Notamacropus eugenii: one gene and its partners. The main gene of each other region encodes a partner of the protein of the gene in region 3 in a complex. Links are inferred from orthologs where the notes say so. Each region holds a gene or a part of one and is shown on either strand. Other genes may lie near its edges.

What was found.
Region 1: the proteins of PTPN22 (region 3) and CSK are in contact, whole or in part, in an NMR structure (PDB 1JEG), measured with the Mus musculus proteins. The link is inferred for Notamacropus eugenii from reciprocal best matches to the Homo sapiens genes PTPN22 and CSK. Residues at the interface, in NP_033005.1 of Mus musculus: Pro614, Pro615, Leu616, Pro617, Glu618, Arg619, Thr620, Glu622, Ser623, Phe624, Ile625, Val626, Val627; in NP_001291690.1 of Mus musculus: Phe20, Thr23, Gln26, Ala40, Val41, Thr42, Lys43, Asp44, Asn46, Trp47, Ile59, Pro61, Asn63, Tyr64.
Region 2: the proteins of PTPN22 (region 3) and PSTPIP1 are in contact, whole or in part, in a crystal structure (PDB 7AAM), measured with the Homo sapiens proteins. The link is inferred for Notamacropus eugenii from reciprocal best matches to the Homo sapiens genes PTPN22 and PSTPIP1. Residues at the interface, in NP_057051.4 of Homo sapiens: Ser793, Lys794, Pro795, Gly797, Pro798, Arg799, Asn800, Pro801, Pro802, Trp805, Asn806; in NP_003969.2 of Homo sapiens: Thr225, Arg228, Asn229, Trp232, Asn236, Ser239, Met240, Cys242, Val243, Asp246.

What each region holds. Positions count from the first base shown.
Region 1 is NC_092872.1:241,312,087-241,319,998, reverse strand, and holds the start of CSK (tyrosine-protein kinase CSK), read left to right. Parts: upstream 1-4,903; 5' UTR 4,904-5,492; intron 5,493-7,695; 5' UTR 7,696-7,895; intron 7,896-7,912. UniProt on the Homo sapiens protein: Non-receptor tyrosine-protein kinase that plays an important role in the regulation of cell growth, differentiation, migration and immune response.
Region 2 is NC_092872.1:256,746,913-256,754,846, reverse strand, and holds the start of PSTPIP1 (proline-serine-threonine phosphatase-interacting protein 1), read right to left. Parts: upstream 3,010-7,934; 5' UTR 2,844-3,009; coding exon 2,811-2,843; intron 1-2,810. UniProt on the Homo sapiens protein: Involved in regulation of the actin cytoskeleton. May regulate WAS actin-bundling activity. Bridges the interaction between ABL1 and PTPN18 leading to ABL1 dephosphorylation.
Region 3 is NC_092873.1:292,913,645-292,920,559, reverse strand, and holds the start of PTPN22 (tyrosine-protein phosphatase non-receptor type 22), read left to right. Parts: upstream 1-3,905; 5' UTR 3,906-4,042; coding exon 4,043-4,129; intron 4,130-6,915. UniProt on the Homo sapiens protein: Acts as a negative regulator of T-cell receptor (TCR) signaling by direct dephosphorylation of the Src family kinases LCK and FYN, ITAMs of the TCRz/CD3 complex, as well as ZAP70, VAV, VCP and other key signaling molecules.

The sequences.
Region 1 (7,912 bases), on a different chromosome or scaffold from region 3:
CACACACACACACACACACTCATATTCATTCTCTCCTTTTCTCTCTCTCTCTCTCACACTCACACACATATTCATTCTCTCCCTTTGTCTCTCTCTCTCTCTCTCTCTCTCCTCCTCTCTCTCTCTGTCCCTTTCTCTCTCTCTCTCTGAGATCCAGTGACAGTGGCCTCCTTTTTGGTCCAGAACAAGACATTCCATCTCCCAACAATCTATGTCTCCTAGCTTCTTTTAAGTACCAGATAAAAATCCCACTTTCCACAGGAAGACTTTTCAGACTTCTCCTCTCCCTTTAATCCAGGGCCTTCCCTGTCGATAATATCCAATTTGTCCTTGAGAGCAGACACTGTCTTTTACCTTTCTTTGTCTCTCCAGTGCTTAGCATGGTGCCTGGTGATTAGTAGGCACTTAATAAATCTGGAAAGTACAAAAAAGACCTGTATGAACTGAGACACAGAGTGAGCGACAACCATGAAAGCCCTAAAAACTGTGAACACCACAACGATCGACCACGTTTCAGGAGACCAACCAAGCTACCACCTTTGGAGGGCATGGGAGTGGGGAATGGATTCTGGTCGCAAATGGCAACATCTATTTTTTGGACAAAGTAGGAATTTCTTTTGCTTGATTACGCACATCTGTGACAAAAGTTTTGCCTTTGTTTTCTGTCAGGGAGGAGTGGATTTTTGTTCATTAAAAGTTTTCAATAAAAAATAGAAAAATAAAGTGTGACACACCATGTACATCTGAAATCAGTCAGCAAGGCTTTATTAAGGACTTCCCATGTGCTTGGCCCTGGGGAGACAAATGTCAAGAATGAACGAGCCCCCAAACAGAAAATGAAAAAACGAAAAAGAGATGGAAAAGGCACTGCCATTATAACAAGGCAGGAGGATAAGAAATAGTTCACATTCATATAGCCAACATTTATATGGTACTTCCTTTATAGCAACACCATGAGGAAAGCAGCAGCATTACCTTCAATTTCCAGAAAGGGAAACTGAGCCACAGAAAGGTTAAAGTGACTCACCCAGGGTCACACAGTGTTGAAAACCGTCCTCTAACTCTGCTCTGACTCATTATTATTTTCTGACAAATTAGCATCAGCTCGGGTGCCCAGTGGCTACTTTGTGGAAGAGGGACAGGGACAGTGAGCCAGGGAATATAAACTAGGCACAGTGCTGGGCCCTCCCTGGATTGGCCAAGGCTAGTTTTGTTTGGAGCCCAGGAGAGGGGAGAATTCAGAACTCTTTTTCCCCCCAAAATTTATTAATTTATTTGTTTTCAGTTTTCAACATTCATTTCCATAAGTTTAAAATTTTTCTCCCCCTCCCTCCCCAAGACAGCATGCAATCATATATGGGCTCTACACATACGTTCCCATTAAACACATTTTCACATTAGTCATGTTGCATAAAAGAATTATAGCTAATGGGAGAAACCATTAGCTATAATTCTTCTATGAGAATTCAGTACTCTTGAAGGACATTTGTCTATCATCTTCCATATCTATTCCTTTCACCTAGTATTTAGAGTGTTTCACTCTTCTCTTCTCCCTCCATTTCTCTCCCCCTCCCTCCCTTTTCCTTTCCTCTCCCCCCTCTCTCTACCCCTTTCTTTTCCCCTTCCCCTCCCCCAATATCGGTTGGTAGTCTCTCTCAGACTAGGTCTTCCCCCATCAATCCCAGGGCCTCAGTGCTAACCCCACCGTAAGGAATCCAGGAGACAGGTGGCTTTGGTGAATATTCTTTCCTCCTGTTACTCAGAATCCTTTGCTGAGGAAATGCAAGGATTCCTTGGGGTCCAGTTTCCTGCTTCACTTCTACTTTAAAGATCGAAATTTCAGTTCAACTGCTGATAACCAGGTTACTAGAGAGCTGCTTGACCTTGAGCAATTCATTTGGGAACTCCTCATCTCCAAAATGCAGGATTAAAAGACCTCTGAGGCTCAGTGGGGTACAGCACAATGTTGTGGCTCTGTTCCTTACTACCTGGGTAATTTGAGGAAAGTCATAATCTCCCAGCCTCAGTTTCCCCAGCTGTAAGTAAAGGAGTTGTGCTTCTAAGGGTCTTTGGAACTGTAGCTCTATGATTCTATCCTGGTTCTAATTCTCATCCCACAGACTAAGAAATGCTGAAGGGGTTGATTGTGGGAAAAGTCTAAGAAGCCCTGATGTAGATCCTATTCTGGGATGTTGCTGGGAATACCAAGGAAATGTCAGAAGACTCACTACCTGTTGTTGGGATTGCTGTTGGGGTTTTTGAAGGCCTTTATGGTTATTTAACTTTGCTTTCATTGATTATCTTCATATTTATCCTATATATACAGGTAGATACAGATTTGTATATGTATAAACACATACTTGTTTTCTCTCCAATTAGAATGTGGAAGGTACTTGAAAGAAGGGATGGTTTCATCCTTTGTCTTTCTATCCCCAACACCCTAACACAGTGCCAGGCACATCGGGTACCCTTAATAAAGACTTGTTCACTGACTAGTACAAAGCACTGTGCTCAGTGCTGGCAAAATAAAGATGAAAAATGATCCCAACAAATTCAGAGTTTGTAATCTATGAAATGCACCAGGTAGGTAAAGGAGAATAACACAAAGACAGAATGTGAATGGCACAGGGCAGCTAAGTGGCCCAGTGGGTAGTTGAGTCAGGAGGACCCAAGTTCAAATCCAGCCTCAGACACTTGACACTTATTAGCTGTGTGACCCTGGGCAAGTCACTTAACTCCAATTGCCTCCCTACCCTGACCCTGCCAAAAGAAAACAACAGAAAGTGAGTGGGACCAAGGCAAAATTCAGACCAAGTGCTTTAGGAAAATCTGAAGTTTGAGATCACCTTTAGTTGAGGGGAAATACAGAAGGGCCTCCTGGCAGAGGAAGCCCCTGAGCTGAGCCTTGAAGAAAGAGGCAGGGAGGTTCCAATTAGCCTGCACTAAATCAGGAAACAGCAGGACCAAAATCAGAGCTAATCATCAGTTTGTTGAGAAAGGAGAATGTGTGAAAGAGAATATTGAGAAAATCAGTCTAGAAAGGTAGGATGGAAACAGGAGACTGTGGTGACAAAGAGCCAAAGGTTTTAGAAAAAGGGAGTAACTCCTCAAATCTACATAAAAGGATGGTTACTATGACAACAGTTTGAAGGGCAGGGTTGATGTCCATCTTGACTCCTGGAGTCTCTAAGCTGTCATTATTTTAAAACTTTTTTTGAGCCAATTGGGGTTAAGTGACTTGGCCAGGGTCACACAGCTGGTAAGTTTGAGTCCTCCTGACTCCAAGGCCAATGCTCTATCCACTGGGTCACCTAGCTGTCCCAAGATGTCTTCTTAAGAGCAGGCAGGGAAAAAGTCTTCTAGATCAGGGCTTCTTAAACTTTTTCCACTCTTGACCCCTTCAGCATTTCTTAAACTGTGGGTCGAGAAAATGGTAGGGCTACCTTCCTCCAGACTATGGGGGAGAAAGGAGAAGACCCCTTTTCTCTCCATAAAGTCTGGTGACCCTACAGCTTATTAAAGGCCAGGGAACCCATCCCTCCAAGAACCCTTAAGTTTATTTACACTGGGTGTAAATAAATCCTCCTCCAAACATATTGTACCATTCCTGTTCACTCTGACCTTTCTAGGGATCCAGGGTATCTAGTTCTTTGTGGCTACCCCTGGCTTCCTTCAAGTCTCAACTAAAGTCCTACCTTCAGCAAGAAGCCTCTCTTAAGGATCCTCAATCTTTGCACAATCCCTTCCATGATTATGGCCAACTTATCCTGTCTAGTCTGTTACAAGTGTGTGAATCTCCTTTCCCCCAAGTGAACCAGAGAATCTTAGGGTGTGGAGGTTTGGGAGTCATCTAGAGAAATTCACCCCTGAAGGAGAATCTTTTCTAGGACATACTGGACAAATGGTCAGCCAGCCTCTGCTTGAAGACACCCCAGTGAGGGGAAATCAACTGCCCTCTCCCCAAGGCTGCCCATTTTGCTTCTTAATTGCTCTAATCGTTGGGGAGAAGCTTCTCTTCTTTCTAACAACTCCTCATTGCTCCTGGTTTGGGCACAAAGCTAGTGTCCCTTCCACCGGACCACCCACCACAGACCGCTTAGTTTGGCAGTGAAGCCTGTGAGTCCCTTGAAAGAAGGAGCTGTCTTCTACCTTCCTTTACCCTGCCAGGCTTAGCACGGTACTGGCACACAGCAGACACACACACACTCGAACTCACTCTCACACACACAGCACGCACACACTCACACTCACATACACAGCACACACACACACTCACAGCGCACGCACACACACACAGACACACACACACACACACAGAGCACGCGCGTGCACACACACTCACACACACACACACACACACACACACACACACACACACACACACACACTCGGTTACACCAGTAAGGGCTCTGACCATGTACACTTGACCTCTAGACCTTGATCCTCGGGCTATTCCAGTCCTGTCCCGGGGTGCCGTCAGGCCGTGCGCTCGCACTGATCACAAAGTGACGAAGAGCTCCCCGCCCTGCCCCCGGCCGGCCCGGAGTTCTGAGGGAGCCGTCTGGACTGCGCCCACCGGTGCCCACTCACCACTTTGCAGGCGAAGGGCGGCGAGCGGGTCACTGTCTCGGGCTTCCAACTCCGCGCCCACCTGCCGGGATGAGCGACCCCCGACTTCAGGCGTCCGGCTGCCATTGGGTCGGCGGCCAAGATGTGAGGCTCGGGACGCGGGGACCTGGACACACCCCCATGCGATGCCCGTGGCCTCCAGTAGGTGGCGCAGCCTCCCCGCTCGCGCCCGGTCCGCGAGCGGGTCCAGCCCATTTGGCGCAGGCGCGCTGCTACAGGCGGATGGATCCAGGCTCCGCTTCCTCCGGCCAGGCCTGCGAGCTTCCTTCCAGCTGAGCCGGAGAGGGCCTGGGGAGGGGGCGGCCCCCGCAGCAGAGGACGCGCGCGCGCGCCGCCAGTCTTCCCCCCCCTCCCCGCCCCGCCCCGCCCCGCCCCTCCCGCCGCGCTCCCGGGGTGGGGGCAGCCGCCGCCGGCCTCCAGTCCGGCCGGGAGCCGTCGGGTCCGTTCCTCCGTCCAGCCCGCTTCCAGCCCGGGCCGCCGGTGCCGGGGGGGCTGGGACGCCGGGGCCCGCCCCGCTCCAGAGCCAAACGTCGCGTGTCTGGGCTGCCCAGGCGGCCCGCGCTACGTCCCCACCTCAAGGCTCGGCGGCGGCGTTCGGAAGCGGAACTCTCCCGGGGCCGCGGCGGCTACATTGTTTCCTCCTCCCTCCCCGACCCGGGCCGAGCGGTGCTCCCCGGCCCAGCCTCTCGCTGCCCTCTTCCCGCTCCTTCTCTCCTCCCCCCTCCCCCCGCTCCTTTGGACCCCTCCCACCAGGGCGCCCCCCCGCCCCCCGCCTCCACCCAGCCCCCGGCCACATGGACTGTCCCGCAGCCCACTGATGTCGCCGGCGGCTAAGTGGATCGGACCGCAGCGCTCGGAGAGAGGTGAGTGAGTGCCCGGCGTTCGGGGCCCTGGCCGCGGCGGCCCGAGCTGGGTGGAGATCGCCAGCCCCGGAACCTACTGGTCCTTGGCCGGCTCCCGCCCTCCCCGCGGCCGCTCCCCTCCCCCACCCGAGCTCCGACGGGTTTGAATTCTCCCGGGAGTTGCTGTCACGGTGTAGACCCGGGCAATAAGCCGTCCTCCGAGATGGGTCCCGGGCCCGTGGGGCAGGCGAGCCCAGTGCCAAGTTGGTGGGTCCTCACCGCCCCGGGGCCTACCGGGGGGTTCGAGTGGGGTCTGCGTGGGGGACTGGAAAAAACTCCACTCCTTAAGAGGTTCTGACTAAATCCTCGCCAGCCCTTTATCTTCCTCCACCCAAGAGCTCGGAGCCTCAGTCCCGGCTTTGGAGGGGCAAGGATGGGGCGGGGACCCAGGATAATGCCAGCCTTCCCTTAGTGGGACTGTGCAGGACGGGCATGTGGCTGATGGAGGAGGAATTAAGCTTCCAACATGGGGTGGGGTCAGACTGGACCAAGGTGGGGGTGTGTGGAAAGAGAAGCCATTTCATTGTCTCTGGGGGTTTGCCAGCACTGCCCCAAGCTCTATCTTCTCCTCCCCTTCCATTCTCCCCCCCACCCCACCCCCATTCCCACCCTCTACGCTGTAACCGTGCAACCTGCTGACGGAGCCTGAAGCCTGACAACAGGGCTGCTCACGCCGGCCTGTGCACAATGCTCCTGGTTCCCCAACCCATGCTTTAGGACTCAGGCTCAGACACCCGACTTTGGGCTACTTGTACCCAGGACAGGATTTCGGAGGATTAGTTTCCTCGATTTGACTCCCACTGAAGAGGTTGAAATACCCTCTCTGGATGGGACTGCTCCTTCTAGCCCGCCATCCCCAGATTGCATCCTTGGGTAGCCAGGGAGAGCAGCCTTGGAAACAAAGCCCCCTGTACCACCTAGAGGGAGCTGGTCTTGCACATGTGAATTGCATCTTTCCCCTTCCCCGCCCCACTCTGCCTGGACACCTAGGCCTGTGTTAGACATCCAGGATTGGAGTCATCGAATTAAGGCAAAAGGAACCTAGAGAACATTTAGACCAATCTCTTTTATTTTACTTTGGGGCAAAGTGAGGCATGGAAAAGAAAAGGGGTTTGCCCAAAGTTAGGGTCATAGAATTTAAAACTGGAAACAAGTTTATTTAGAGGTAGTCTAGTCCTTGTTCCTCATTTTACAGATGAGGAAACCGAGGCCCAGAAGTGACTCGGCCATAGTCACACATTAAATTACTTCCTGACACTGGGAGAGGTGGAGCAACTAATAGAAACCAAAACTGTTCCTTGAGCAGGCGGTAGCCAAGACAGACTGAGCCAGGCCCTGAGAGGCTTAACATGTGCTCAGCTGGGCTGCAGATCTAGGCATCTGGAGAAGAGAGGTTTGGAGAAAGTACCCAGCTGGCAGGTTTATGGCTCAGAGTGGGGTACTGGCCCTGGGGCATCCCTCCCCCAGGCTTGCTTCCTCTTATTGGGGTCCTGGGCTCTGAAGTCTCAGCTGCTTTGGGGACTCAGACCTTGTCTTTCTATCTTCAAAGCAACCATCCTGTCAGCTATGATTAAAATTTAATGTGTGGAGTGGGGAGTGATTAGAGCTTTTGATTTTTTTTTTTTTTTGGAGGGAGGTGGTAACTACTGAGGTAACTTGGTGTCCTTGGCTTTCCTTGGAGAGAGCTTTGCCCATATGAGTTACCCATAGACCTGGTTGTGCTGGGTAAGAATTCTTCATGTTCAGGGATACAGAAGGTAACTAGCAGAACAGGAAGGGTGATGTGGCTAACTAGGGACTCATATGTTCAGAAGCCCCACATTTCATCTTCCTCCTTTCTCTTTGATTTGGGATGGTAAGGGGAGCCAGGAAACTTGGCAGGGAACGGGGGGAGATCCTAACTTTCTAGCTGAATGTCATCTTTATGCCTGATTGGTCACTAAGGTGGCTTCTACCCCCAGAGGCATACTGCCTTGTACCATTGCCATGACCACCTCAGAGTACCTGAATTCCAGGGTCTGATAGCAGAGTCAGAGAAACACTTGGAAATTTCCTTGGCAAGGAAACTGTCTCTAAGGAGAGAATTGGGGTAGTGGGGGGGAAAGGGATGTGGGGCACCTATCTCTTAAAAGCTTTTTGACCTCATCTCTGGTGTGTGTCGCAGGAAGAAGAAACATTATTGAGGCATAGTTTAGAGGTGTCCAGACTCGGTTCCTTTAGCACAGAGCCAAGGGTCAGCCTTTGCCTTCCTTGGAGGCTGATTCCCACGAGCTGGTTCCAGCCACACTTTCTCCCTCAAAGGAGAGTTGGGGAGAGTCCAGTATCCAAGCTCAAAGTCATTTAAATCCCTCACTCCCAGTTCTTGTGAGTATTCCGTATGA
Region 2 (7,934 bases), on a different chromosome or scaffold from region 3:
CCCTCACCCTCAGTTTTTCAGATGAGGAAACTGAGGTACAGTGCAGCCTTTTAGCAAGGACAAAGAACCAGTGTCTGAGGCAGGATTTGAATCCAGGTCCTTATAACAAGTCCAGTGCTCTCTCTACTATTCCATAATACCACTCAAACAATGATAAACATTCAAAGTGGGATGGGTTCTCTCCAGAGGGAGGGGGCTTCCCCTTCCCCCAGCAAAGGAGAGATGGCTGATTTGACATCAAGGGGAATTCTTGTTTAGGTCAAGATGGATGAATGGACTCCTGAGGCCTTGCCCAACTCTGAGATTCTGGGGCTCTATTTCTGGTGGACCACAGGTGCAGGGTGAGCCCATGGCATGAACCAGCATCCCCAAAGCTCACATCATCTCAGGCTATTGGATAATAATCCCACTTCCCCAGTCAGACCTCGCCTGCATAGTAGGCTCCATTCTGGGTGTCAAGTCAGCAAGGGTCAGAGGAGGACAAAAGGGGCAGTGAGAGAGGCCTGGAAGCCACGCCATACCAACACTGGGCAGAGGAAGTGGCACGTTCTGAACTGGAGAAGAGAGGGCTTAGGAGGGAGTAGTCATTGTCTTCAGAGAACTGAAGGGCCTCCATGTCAGAGACCAGATCTGCCTGACCCAGTCTGGGGGAAGGTATACAGAAGCAGTTGAACTACCTGCAGAGTGACCCCCTCAGATCTCCTCTGTTTTACCCTATCTATGGCTAGGTTGAATGTTGCTGTTGCCTTGTTGTCTTCTCCATTAGACTGTGAATTCCTTGAGGGCAGGGGCTCTCTTTGGTCTTTTTTTGTATCCCCAGCACTCTGCACAGTACCTCGTACATAGTAGGTGTCCAATAAATGTCTATTGACTGGCTGACACATAGTAGACATTTAAATGATTGATAAGTGACTGGTTGGTGCATAGTGGGTGCTTAAATGCTAATTGACTAGGTGGCGCATAGTAGGCACTTAAATGCTTGATATCGAATTGACTGGTACGTAATAAGAACTTCAATACTTATTGACTGGCTGGCACATAGGAGGCACTTAAATGCTTGATGAGTGACTGACTGGAACACAGTAGGCACTTAAATTTGTTGACTGTATGGCACATAATAGGCAATAAATACTTGTGGACTTGAAGTACAAGGGAAAACTTCTTGATGATGACAGGTCTCCCCAAAATAGAACATGCCATCTCATAAGTAATGAACTCCCCAACATTGCTGGAGGTCTTCTGGCAGAGGCTAGATACTCCCCTGCCTAGGATGCCACAGAGGTGATTCCCATTCAGGCTCCAGATGGACCAGAGGACCTGGCAATGCCTATCTTGGGGGAAAAGGTGTCCTGTCCTCAGCTCCTACAATGCAGTGCAAAGTCAACTGGATTTCAAATCAGAGGCCAAGGTTACACTTTAAACTCTCAGCACTCAGTCTGTGCAGCACTTCACTTTTCTGTGTCTTGGTTGTCTTATCTGTAAAATGAGCAGGCTAGACAGATTGCCTCGGGTCCCCTTCCAGCTCCCAACCTATGAACCGATGACACACATATTGATGTAAAATGTATCACACAGAATCTGATGGTTTGCGTGGCCCTCTACTCATATCATCTCATCTGAGCCTTGAAACAAACCTATGGTGTCATTCAGCCAACCAGCATTATTAAGTGCCTACTGTGCGCCAAGCACCGTGCTAAGCATTATGAGGTAAATGCTCTTATCCCATTGAAAGAGCTGAGGAAACAGGCTCAGAGAGATTGTCACAACTCAGGCCACCAAACTGACGAGCATCGAACTCAGGTCATCCTGACCCCAAAGCCAAAACACTACAGACAGTGGCTCTCCTGTAAAATAAGGATGATTACCAAGGTCCCTTCCACCTTTTGATTCTATGATCCTCACCCTCACCTGTGGAACGAGCCACACACTAATCTTCAGTCAGACCAAAGGCTGAGACTTCGAGTCAGAAAGACCTGAGCTCAAATCCAGCCTCAGACACTTCCCAGCTGTGTGACCCTGGACAAGTCACTGAACCTTGGTTTGCCTCCATTTCCTCAACTATAAAACGGGGGTACTAATAGCACCTCCCTCCAAAGGCTCTTGTGGTAGGTGCTTAATTTTGCTTATTTCCTTCCTTCCTATTGGGCAAAAACCCTGATAATTTCTCTGAGCACAAGTGGCTCTCTGACCTTTCCTACAACATGTATCACATTTGAACCAGAAGCTGCCTGGCAGGCAGGACATCTTCCTCCATATATGGGTCACAGCCCACGAGAAGCCAAGGCCTGTCAGTTGCCAGGGGGCTTTCTCCTCTCAGTACCTGGCCCAAAGAGCCCAGAGGGAATCTAGTGTCCTGGAGAATCTGTTCCACCAAGGGGAGGAGGGAACACTGGTGGGGCGGGTCTGAGAGAGAAAGAGAGAGAGAGAGAGAGAGAGAGAGAGAGAGAGAGAAAGTCCCATGCCACCTGGATGCCCTGGATGCAGGCCAGGAGCAAGCTGAAGACTAAGGTAGGGAACAGAAAATAGAACCAAGCGTTTGACATTTAAGGGGAAAAAATGGCCAGTCCAGACTTTCATACATCCTCAGCCCTCTCTTCACCAAGAGGGATAAACAGAACTCTCACTGTGGCAGAAGCAAGAGGAAGCTGGGGGGAGGGGAAGGTCACTTCCAAGGGGGCCCTTTTCCTTCATTTTCTTCACTTAACAAACGTCAACCAAACACAGCGACATCTATTCAGCTGGAAAACTTGGGGAGGTAGAGGGGAGGTGACAGCCAGACCGTCTGGGGGAAGAGAAAGCCGCTCACTCACCCAAAAAGCATCTTTGAACTGCAGCTGGGTCATGGTGCAGCCTGGTTCTAGCCCAGGTCTCTCTGGAGCCGGCACAGCAGCCTGAAGAGGTCCCAGTCGGGCCTCTGACTCACCCCACTAGCCAAGGGGGGAAGAGATTCACCCCTCCAGTCACTTGAGGTGTTTCTGTCTGCTTCTCTCTCTTTCTCTCTCTCTCTCTCTCTCTCTCTCTCTCTCTGAGCTGTTGATGGAAACCCAATGAGGACTGAAGTTTAAAAAAAGGGGGCTGAACCTGTTTTGATTTTTTTTTTTTTTTTTGGTGAGAAGTCCAGAAGCCACTGAAATAAGGAAGTAGAAGCTGCTCCGTGATGTAAGCCCTGGGCCTGCCCTTGGCTGGACCTGCAGAAGAGCTCCCAGTACCTACAGAATCTCTTTTCAAAGTGATGGTCTCTCAAGCCCAGCCCAGAGGGCAGCCTTCTTCCCTTCAAAGGGAGGGCCAACAGTCAGAAACAGAAAGCAGAAAAGAAGACAGGAACCGGCAGGAAGGGTGTCCTCCCTCCCTCCCCCTGCCGCCAGCCCTAGCCCCCAGGCCTGGGCCTCTGCAGGAACAGTGCTGTCATGACATCTTGACACCATGCCTTCTTTTGCAATGGTGAGCATCCCCACACAGGAAATGTGGCTTCTCAGATGCCCTATGCAAGTAAGTTTCCTTCGAGGGCCCCCAACTGAATCAAGGAAATCATTGTGTTCAACCGCTGTCTCTGCCTTTCTCCACTTGGCTTCAGGGAGGTCCTGGGGCTGAAGGGGCAGACCAGGCCTCTCTTGAGGGCTGCTAGCATCTTCAGTGCATCTCTCACCCACGGACAGCAGCGGGGGCAGAAACAGCCCATCTTGGGGATTCCTTGTGGGGTCACGAAGGAGAAATGGCTCCCATGGAGGAAGGGAAGGCATTTGAGAGAGAGGGGATCGATCACAGGATCACAAGTCTGGGAGGTGTCATTTCCAGGCAGAAGACATATGGTCACCCCTCTCGTTTTATAGACAGGACACTGAGGCCTACAGAGAGGGGAAATAATTTGCCTGAGGCAACACAACTGGTAAACCCAAACCCAGGAATTAGACCCAAACAAGAGCACCAATAACTAGCATTTACACAAAGTTTTAAGGTTTACAAAGCACTTTACCAACATTATGTCATTTTTATCCTTACAACAACCACCCTGGGAAGTAGGTGCCATTATTATTTATTGTTATTCCCATTTTACAGATGAGGAAACTGAGGCACAGAGAAGTTAAGTGATTTACCCAGAATCACACCACTACTAAGTAATTAAGTCTGGATTTGAACTCAGGTCTTCCCCAACTTCAGACTTTCATACTTGTATCCACTGCCCCACCTCAGTGACTCTCAAATACTGCAAAGCCTGTGACCTCTGACCCAGACCATACTGCTTTTCTGAACCTTCAGATTAAAAGCCCTTGGACATCCTGACTTGTCCCTCCCCAGTAAAGCATGACCTCGGAGTCTCACAATATAAACCAGGTTTATACTTCCACTCTCTCCCAAGTAGAAGGTGGAGTGGGGATCCTCAAGGCTGACTAGAGGAGAAAGTGAGATTGGTGACTCTGCATAGCCCTGCCTCACTTAAATCCAGTCCACTTGCATGTCATGGCATCACCTCTGCAATGTCATGGTCATCTTCGAGAACGAAGGACAAACTGCAGCAACTGGGGAGCAACTTCTACTCTTGAACAGAATAACATGACCAGACCCACACTTTAGGAAAATCCCTTTGGCAGCTGATCAGAAGATGGAAGTGGAGCATATTGGAGGCTTGAGGCAGGAAACCAACCAGGTTATTCCAATAGTCCAGAGGAGAGGTGATAAGGGCCTTCACCAGGGTGGTGGCTGTGGGGGTGGAGAGAAGGGGATATTCTGCAGGTGAATGTCAGGGGTGAGTGAGGGGCAAAGCTGGGCAGCCAGAAAGATGCATGTGTTGTTAGAAGCCCTAGGGACGTCTGGAAGAAAAGTGGGTTGGGAGGAAAGATAACAGACTGAGATCTGGTCTCTGGGCTCACTGGTCCTGCGTGACTCATTCTATCCTCGGCTTTCTAAAGGGGCCTGGTCAAGGGCCCCTTGCTCCCTAGCCACCATAAAGAGTGAAGATCCAGCACAATCAACCCCACTGGAGCCACAAGGTCATGGGGGTATGCTGAGGGTTGGGGAAGCAGCTGCTCTGAAGTGATAGTCTCTGAGGGCCACCGCTTTCCCCACCCCCTACCCCCCCGCCCCCCCGCCCCACAGCATGGTCCGAGGTGGGGACATAGCCTGAGAGAGACAAGGCCCAGAATTGGGAGGATACAACAGAAGATATCTTCCCACCATCTGACTGGGGTCGAGCTACAGCTTCTCAGGGGCCCCCACTTTGGAGACCACTTGTAGAGGGAGATTCCAGTGAAGATATTCTCTCTGTTCATGAGCGTATAACTGCTGAGGACCTACAGCCAACATGGGTCAGATGCAGGATTTGAGCCCAGGCCTTCTGAGCTTCAAAGTCAGCCTTCTGTCCCCTGTGCAGCCTTGCCTTTCTATTGAGAGAGGTTATAAACCTTTATAGCCAGTGCTCTTCCTGCCATTCCGCAGACAAGATCATAGCCTTCGAGCCTCCTCAGACTGGGGTCTTTGACACCAAATTCATGTCTACTACTATACCCCACAGTGTGTTCCCAGACATCCAGACTACCCATGGAGCATGGGCACAGGGCATAGGTCTGGCAGCAGATCAGCAGGGAGCCCCTACTGTCCTTCTCCTTTTGTTCCTCCCTCCTGTGACGGTACCATGGTCACCCACCTTTTTTATGTTTCTCCCCCTTTACCTCAGCCCCTCGAATCCCTGATTTCCTTCAAGATACGATCCAAGTGCCACTTTCTCCCTCACCCTGTTCCTGACCCACAGCCCAGTCTCCCCTATTAGAGCGCCAGGCCTAAAGTCAGGAAGACTCATCTTGAATTCAAATCTAGACTCTGACACTTACGGTATGACCCTGGGCAAGTCATTTAACCCTGTCTGCCTCAGTTCCTTCATCTGCAAAATGGGAATCATGACAGCAGCTACCTCCCAGGGTTGTTGTGAGAGTCAAAGAAGATCATGATTGTAAAGTGCTTAGCACAGTACCTGACACATAGTAAGTTCCATATCAGTATTAATTGTGATTATTATCACAAGATGGAGAATCAGGAGAGCAGACAGCAACTTGGACTCCTCAAGTCCAAGGAAGGAACTCAAAAACATCTGGAGAAAAGTGGCAGCAGGGAGTACTGGCGGTTCTCCCTGGATATTTAAGGGAGTCAGAAAGGGGGAGGAGGCTGTTACATCTTGTCCGGTTTGTAAGTGCTGATGAGAAAAGAATTTGGTGAGAGTACAGTCAGGGGGAAAATGGTGTATTGGAAAAAGTGCTGGACTTAGCATGAAAAAGACTTGGATCTGAGATAAGGTTCTGGCATCTATTAGAGGTGAGCGTTTGGCCAAATCATTTTTGCTCCTCTAGCCATAGCATTAACTAGAGGGGGGTGGTCAGGGCTTTGTCTCAGGGCACCTAATACAAAAGGTGTTGACATCCTTGGGCAGCATAGAAACAATAAAGTACTGTGCCCAGCACAGTAAGAAAATTTCTTTAAAATAGGAAACTACCAGATGGCAAGCTGGAGCAATCTCCTCTGTTACCGTGCTGACACACTCCCAGGAATGATCTCATGATGGGGTCCTGAAGAAATCTGTCTCCCCTCTCCAAGGAATGATGTCTTCCTCTCCCCCTCAAATGAGTACATCTCATGTACCTCTTATTCCTGATGCAGAAATTCCTATTATGGCTCGCTCTCTGTCTCTGTCTCTGTCTCTGTCTCTGTCTCTGTCTCTGTCTCTCTTTCTCTTTCTCTTTCTCTTTCTCTGTCTCTGTCTCTGTCTCTGTCTCTGTCTCTGTCTCTCTCTCTCTCTCTCTCTCTCTCTCTCTCTCTCTCTCTGTCTCTCTCTCTCCCTCCCTCCCTCTCTTCCTCCCTCTCTCTCTTTCTTTCCTTACCCCCCTCTTTTTCTTTCCCCCCCAATGAAGGATTTAGATTAGATAACCTCAAAGGTCCTTTCCAGCTCTAATATTCTGTGATTTTGGAAGTGTGAGGGAGGGGCCAGCTGAACGTAGTCCTTGAGAATAAGGACATTTTTATTACTTTATTTAATCCACTTGCACACAGTAGGTGTTTAATGAATGTTTGTTGAATTGGAACTCAAAGGGGTGAGGCAGCTCCAGCAACCACAGTGCTTGGTTGTGGGACTTCTTCCTTTGCATCATCACTAGGGTGGATGTGGGCATTTGTAGTTCTCTGGTCAAGAGCTTGTCTCATGCTATCCCAGAGCTTATATGTGGAGAGAAATAGAATTCAGTAAGTGGTAATGTAAGTAGAACTTGAGAAGACAGAGATGATCAAAATGATAGAGAAAGCGATGGAGATGATAGAGAGATAGAAACTGAAATAGAGATGGAGAGTTGATATGGAGATAGAAACAGAGAAGTGAGACAGATACATGTATGTGTGTTGATAGGTAGGTGGATGGGTAAATACATAGATGAGATAGAGAGATAAATGATAGCTGGATTAATGGGTGGATAGATAGATGATATATAGATAGTTAGGCAAGTAGATGAGTGGATAGGTTGGTAGGTAGGTAAACAAATAAATGGTCAGGCAGACAGATACATAAAAAGATAAACAGACAAACACATAAATAGACGGATAGATAAATAGACAGATAGGAAGAAAGATTTATTGATAGATTGATGGGTAGATAGACAGACAGATAAAGAGATGATTAGATAGTCAGACAGATAGATGGATGGATGGATGAAGGGAGGGTGGGAAGGAGGGAGGGATAGATAGATGATAGATAGATAACATTTGGAGTCCTACAAAGTACTTTCTTCAGAAATACCCTGGGATGTGTAAAGTGAGAAACTGAGCTGATCAGAGTTATGTAACTTGCCTGTGGTTATATAGCCAGTAGGCACCAAAGCCAGGACACAGCTAGATCTCCTGACTCAGTCCAGCAATCTTTCCACATTAGTAGGTTACCTCTCTGGGCACATCCCAAAGAT
Region 3 (6,915 bases):
AGTTTTCACTCTGGGACTTCTTTTAATCATCCCTTTTGCGTTGTGAGGGCCTGGGCTAAAATTCTGCCTCTGATGTTTACTCCCTGTAGAGCCCTGGGCAAGTCCTTGATCTGAACCTTAGTTTCCTCATCTGTAAAATGAGGGCTTTAGGATTCAACATCCAGAAAGCAAGGGCCAGAAAGGAAGGAATATTGCCATACCCTGACTATGAAAGTAAAGTCCAGAGGTAGTTCACCTACCTTGTGGCTCCAGTATGTTTCTTTAAATCTTTGGCTAGCTGCTGATATTTTGGAACTGCAAGTATTCCGGGTTATTTATCTGGCCTAAGAGTCTCCAATGATACTGCATCTAACTCAAAGTGTTCACGACATCCATTACCACCTCCACAGGACTCTCTCATAGCACATGTTACTGGAAGAATTTTTATTTTCTTATTTGAGACTCAGGGTCATTGCTACTGCAGTTTTTAGTTAACAAAAAGTCTGTTTTAATATTAACCTGAACAAAAGCTGTCCCACAAGATGTAAAACTTTACTTAAGAGATTTAAGAACTCTTTAAAGAAGAAACCAAAGGGAGAATCTCAATTATCCCTGACTCCTTGGTGACATATAAATCCTCCTCAATCAGCCTATTTGTGAACCCTCTAAATATAGTTTAATCTGTAACCTTTCTAATACCTAAGTTTACCTATAGAGTTGTGTTTTTTTAAAACAAGCTCTGCTTCCTTAGTTGATGTATGAATTTATGACTGTTTAACTACATTTGTTCAACTTTTATGACATTGAAAGAAGCATGGGATTATGGACCTACCTTCTCCTTAACTTTTATGACCAAAGAGGATTATACAAGATTACAATATGTAAAAGAATTACTTGTCTATGACTGATGTAATTCTGCCCACGTGAAGCCTTGTCAGAATGCTCATGATGGTTCAGATTTTCTCTGAGATGTGAATACCTCTATATTTTCCACATTGTGGTAATTATATAATTGGCAGCAGTTGCTCACCACCTGAACTCGGAAAGGAGATATTTCTCTCATAACACGTGCATAGACCACCTCCAGGCCTCTCTCCATGGCCAATGTTTTTGGTAAAACTGTGACATTCTGCTGTTGCTATCCCCACTCCTACACACAGGGAAAAGCACACACACAGTCCATCACTTAACACAATTATGTGATATGTAGTAAGTGCTTAATAAATGTTTAAGCACTTGACTTGTTGACAGCACATGTGAGAGCATGTGCATGTGTGCATGTGGGTGCAAACACACACATACACATACACATGCACATGCATGAGCTGTTCAGAACAAGTAATTTAGTGACTTGTTCCCTCCACTGCTCTCTTCCTTCTGACTAGAGACACCTGGAGTGAGCCCATCAGGCTCATAGAAGGACAATTCTTTCTCCTCTGCTCCCTAGAGTTGCTCTTTCAGGTTTTTTCTTTCTGCAGCTCACATTGGGTGAGCTACAGGATATGTGCTCACAATATACTCACAATGCGAGGTTCCAGACAGGTGTTTGAACATTCTTGAGGCTCACATTAGTTGTGGGCACTTAGGACACTTGGCCAGGCCTACTTAAATGTTTGGTCACCAATTCTAAACTTCTTTTAGGTATATTTCCACCTTCTTTGCATATATTTTCCCTTAGCTGTTCTTGATCACTGCACAGGATGCAAATGAGTCAACATCATCCCCACCGTAAAGTACTGCCATTCAGATGAATTTGAGGGAAACTTGCAAAGACTAAATGTCAATTTGGCTTTGGTTCGTTACAAATAGAAGCTTCAAAAAGAAGAGGAGAGTTTGTTTTTTCCGTTTCCTTTGGGCTCCCTTGAATGGTCTGCTCAGAAGATAGCCATGTACACGTTTGTGGTTAGGTTTGGTTTGGTTTTTTTTTTAATGGGGTTTCTAATATCTTTCAGTTTTAGATCAGAACAAACTCCTTAGAACTGCAGCTTAACAGAGGACAAAGAATTACAGTTCTCCTAGGACCCTGTTTTCAGATCTTTGGATTCAGAATAGGAAATTTATAAAGCACTCATATCTTCTCGTTTTCTTCCCCTCCATCCAATTACACACATTAAGAGGCAAAAGAATATAGTGAGAAATTGAACTTCAATAGGTCTTTAGGCTGAATAAAAAAATCCTAGCAGATAGCAGAGTTAAAGGCTGGAAGGAACCATAGTTGGTTACCTAGTCCAACCCCTCTCCTTTTACAGATAAGAAAACTGAGGCCCAGGGAAGTTAAGTAGGTTACCCAAAGTCACAGAGAGAAAGAGCAAGTGTTCAAATTCAGGCCTAAGGCTTTTTTCCATTTCATCCTGCCCCAGGTATCTTTGCTTGGATTATTGTTTCTAATAGAAGCAGATCTGTGCTGAGGGTTCTCATGAATGTGACATGGTATTAGCATTCTCCCTGTCTGACCAATTTCCTGTATTCTCTTGGTTAAATTTGGAGAAATTATCATCTTTTGGAACTGTATTTTACTATTCTGAAGAGAAGGAATTTCATTTGGAAAGTCTCTATCTCTAGATATAGAAATGAAGCAAGGATATTTTGTCTTCTCTCTTGAGATTTCTAGGACATTACTGTGGAGTGTGGTGTGTTTTTTAAAAAAGCATGGCCTGTGGATCATGAACTCCCCCTTAATCATTAAATGGAGCTCATTTGAGAAGTACCAACCTTTCCTGCATCAACACTGCTGCTAAAGATTTACATGGGTCCTCTTATCTTATCTTGTTGAGGTTGGCATTGTGCATTCAGAATGGAAGTCATAAATTACCTGCATGCATTTTCTAAAATTGTGTTTTCCTTATGGGTGCATCTCAGGACAGGGTTTCCTCTCTGCCGCTTAGTAACTGAAAGTAGCCTAAGAAACTCTACAGTTACGGTATTCTGAAGGAGCTGGAGCCTGTGTTGCAAAATAGATAGTGCTACCAAAACCTAAAATAACAGAAGTTATAGCCATGTGAAGTTTCTAAGCTTATTCACAGTCTTTCCTGGGAGCTGTTCATGATCTTTTATGAATTTTTACCAAGTACCTGCTGTGGGATAGGAATTCAAAGGGCAACTGAGATGCTTCTGCTCCTGTGCTGTACCGAGGTGAATGAGGTAGATTTAAGGAATTTATTGGACTTTAATTCTGGAGTCACTCACTGGGTGCTCCATGTGGTCATTTCACCCATCCAGCACGTGGGAGCTGGGCTGGATGAGGAGGCAAGACCATCACTATCTTTGTGACCAGGATCCTCCAGTACCCCAGAAAAGGTCTCTGGATTGGAACCCAGCAAGCCTTCCTTCATTTCCCCAATATGGCAGGAAGTAGAGAAGGTGCTCAGACATAAGCTTCTTAAAACAGGAGAGACTAGGAAATCAGTACTTCAGGCAGGGCATGGTAAGTGAGAACTTTGAATAAAAAAAGGGCCTACTCAGGTCTGAAGGACAGAGGGATATTTTTTACTAGTCACTAATGGCAGGAAGGAAATGGTAGGACTGTCCTTGCTGTTAATCAGTCCTTGGTCAATTCTAATGGTGTCTAGCTACATTCCTAGGCCAAAATTTAACTTTTTTAGAGTTCATCCCCAGGTGTGAGAAAACAATCGGTTTATTAAGAGCTTTCTAAATTTGTGGCAATGAAGGGAAGCCTCAGCACTGTACAGTTTAAGCTTCTCCATGGGAAATAGGAAGAGCAAAGGTATACTTGGCTTAAAGGGTGGTGTGGTGAAGGCATCTGGAGCAGAGGGGTAAGCAGACCACATGTTTTATTCTGGTTAGTCTCCTGTTTGTCAAAAACTCTCATATAACTAGGTTCCCTTGTTGGGAAGGGAGGTGCTAGGGCCTGGGTGGGAGGGGATGGCTTTGTTGTGTGACCACAGAAGCTGTTACGCACTAATTTCCTCTAGGGCTTGTGATGAAGTCAGTAAACCACAGTGTTTAGCAGGCACTGCTCTTACAGTGGTGTCTCGACCATGACACACATTTGACATGCCCTTTCCTAGCCCCCTGACAGACTGGGGTGCTCCTGCTTTGCACCATGGACCAAAGAGAAATCCTACAGAAGTACCTGGACAAGGCCAGAAACAAGAAACTCATTGGGGAAGAGTGTGCTAGCGAGTTTCTGGTGAGTCTGATGCAGACACCTCAGTGTGCATGGGGTCTCTTAGACAAATAATAAAATAGTTCAACTGTCTAAGAACTGTGGTATCAGAGATTTAGAGCTGGAAGAGACTTTAGTGGTAGTCTAGTCTACCTGTGGGGTCCAGGCATTAAAAGAAGGTAGACTCTCAAGAAAGAGCAAGTTAAAAATTTAGCTCCTTTGGGCTGCTTGTATGTTCTTTAGATATCTCCTCTAGGATTCTTGCTTCTCGAATTTTGTGTGCTATTTCTTTGAGCTAAACAGAGGAAATAAACCATTACAAGTCTTGTAAATAATAGTATGACTTGGATAGGCAGAGTTCTCTGGACAGCTAAGCTGAGGCTTATATCTTAGAGTCTCAGAGGTAGTTGATATTAAGGGGTCAGAGGCCAGAACTAATTCCTCTAAGTATCAACACTGATGACTTGGCCACCTCTTTGCTCTTGGAATTCCATCAAAGGCTACTGAACATCAGAAAAATTACCTATAGCAACATTTTCTTCCATGTCCATAAACATTTTATTTTAAAATGACTGAAAATTCATTTGGGTTGACCTAAAAGAACAGCATCTTGTATTTCTTTTGCTTGGGGCAGTTAGGGGTTGGGGTGTCAGGGAAAAGATTGAGGATGGTTATCAGGACCAAATCAGTTCTGTAAACCTAGAGTTGTCAGACAACTCATCTGTGAAAGCTTGTGAATGGTGATTTGATATCTGAGCCCTCTGTCTACTCACTTGATGCTTTGCAAGTAAGGGAATGAGGGAGAGAATCCGTGGTTCGCCAAACCTTTTAGGCTTAGCTCCTCAGTCTGCGAGTTGAGATTCCATCCCACAACCTCAGGAAAACTTGTAGATGCGGTGGTAGCTTAAAGGGAAATGACCTGACTTTGCGGGTCCCTTTGGGATGGAACTGCTGGAGGAAGGAGGCAATGGGGAAGTTTGGGAACATGTGTCTCTTAGACATGTGCTTTCTCACCCTGTGTCTCCTAAGAGGAATAAACTCCCTGACATGAAGGAAAAACTGAGCTCGGAGGCAATGCCACCCCCTGGTTTTAAGGCCTTGTTTTTGGGTGGTGATTAAGTGGAACCCCACTGTTCACTGACTCATCTTCTCCAGTGGAAAAACAGAGCAGCTGGCCTTATCCTGGGCTGTACCATCTGAAGGTAGTAGGCATGAGAAGTGGGGGATAGTGTAGAGGTGCCAAGGGGGAAAGTGGATCATTTCTAAGAAGTGATGTCCTTTCCATAGGGGCACATTCCACCCTTCTCTGTGATATTTATTCTCTCAAGGGTGACTAATTTGATAGTTGTGAACTTTAGTACCTGTAGTGAACTTCAATGTTCATATTGAATGCCTTTCTTTATAACTTCAACACTTAGCGCAGGGCTTGGCACACAGTAAAGACCTGATAATTGCTTGTCTATACAAGTTCGTCTATACAGTTAGGGTTCTCCTTAGAAATTCTTGAACTGGTGGTACAATTGTTTTATTGACCATGTCCTCTAGCCTCCAAACATTCATACATACACACACACACACACACACACACATACACACACTGTCACACACATACACACTCACACATCCAAACATACTCACACTCATACTCAAACATCCATACACATACACACACTCATGCCCATCCATGCAACCTGTGTGCACACACAAACACACACACACATACTTTATCTGTAGCCATTACTGAATCCCACTTCAGCTAATAGCAGAACTAAGTACAACAGAGGACTTAACCTTTGGCAAAGTCTACACTTGGTACAGTCTCTACACAGCTCTTGCTACAGTAGAGAGTGGGGCTGACTGCTCAAGCCATTCCATATGCAACCTTCATTACATCATAGAGAGTATCTAGAGTCAGATGTCTTAGTGGTCAGTTGAGTCAGGAATAGACTAATGACTCTCAAACTTTTGCTGAATACTATTTGTCAGGGCAAGATATCCTAGAGACTATCTTTCTCACCTGTTCAGGCCTGCCACTATCAATAATTCCCCTAAAGCAGGGGTGGGGAATCTACAGCCTCAAGGCCACATGTGGCCCTAGTCTAGGCCCTCAAATTTCACATTATTAAGGGAAGTTCTATGAAGTTTGGATTCGGTCAAAGGGCCACACTTGAGAACCTAGAGGGTCACATGTGGCCTCGAGACCACAGGTTCCCGATCCCTGTCCTAAAGAAACGCCTTTTGGTCCTTTCCACTCTTGTTCCTTGATTTGCCCTTTTATGTTACAGAGAGAAAGGGTCAGTGGAGAGATAGCAAGAGCAGGAGATGGGAATATAGTTGGAGAGGCCCAGAGGAGAGGAACGAAGAATGAGGGACATGTAGCATGTTAGATCAGCATGCCCTGTCTGGTATTGTTCAGAAGTTATCATATAATGGGAAATCTGGGAGCATGTAGAATGACTTTGACAGTCAGTCCTACAGAATTCAAAACAAGTCCTAAACCTCTCATTTCCTGGAATTTCTCCCTTTAAGAACCTGGAGGTAGCTTCCTCACCTTAGTCCAGGGCAGAGAGGATTTGCCTGTGTCATTTCTGTTCTAGGCTAGTGTTGCCACTAGAATGGAAACTTGGCCCAGGGCTTTTACATTCTAACAAGTGAGATTCCATCAGCAAAGCTTGGGTTGTGTCCAAATGTACAGCACAGTACCATCTTTACTGTTTTTTTCCTGTACTAGTTGAGAAACTCAGGTGAAGACTACCGCACTTGGCCATGTAATACTTTCTCAGCATTTCCAGAGATGAATACTAAATTGA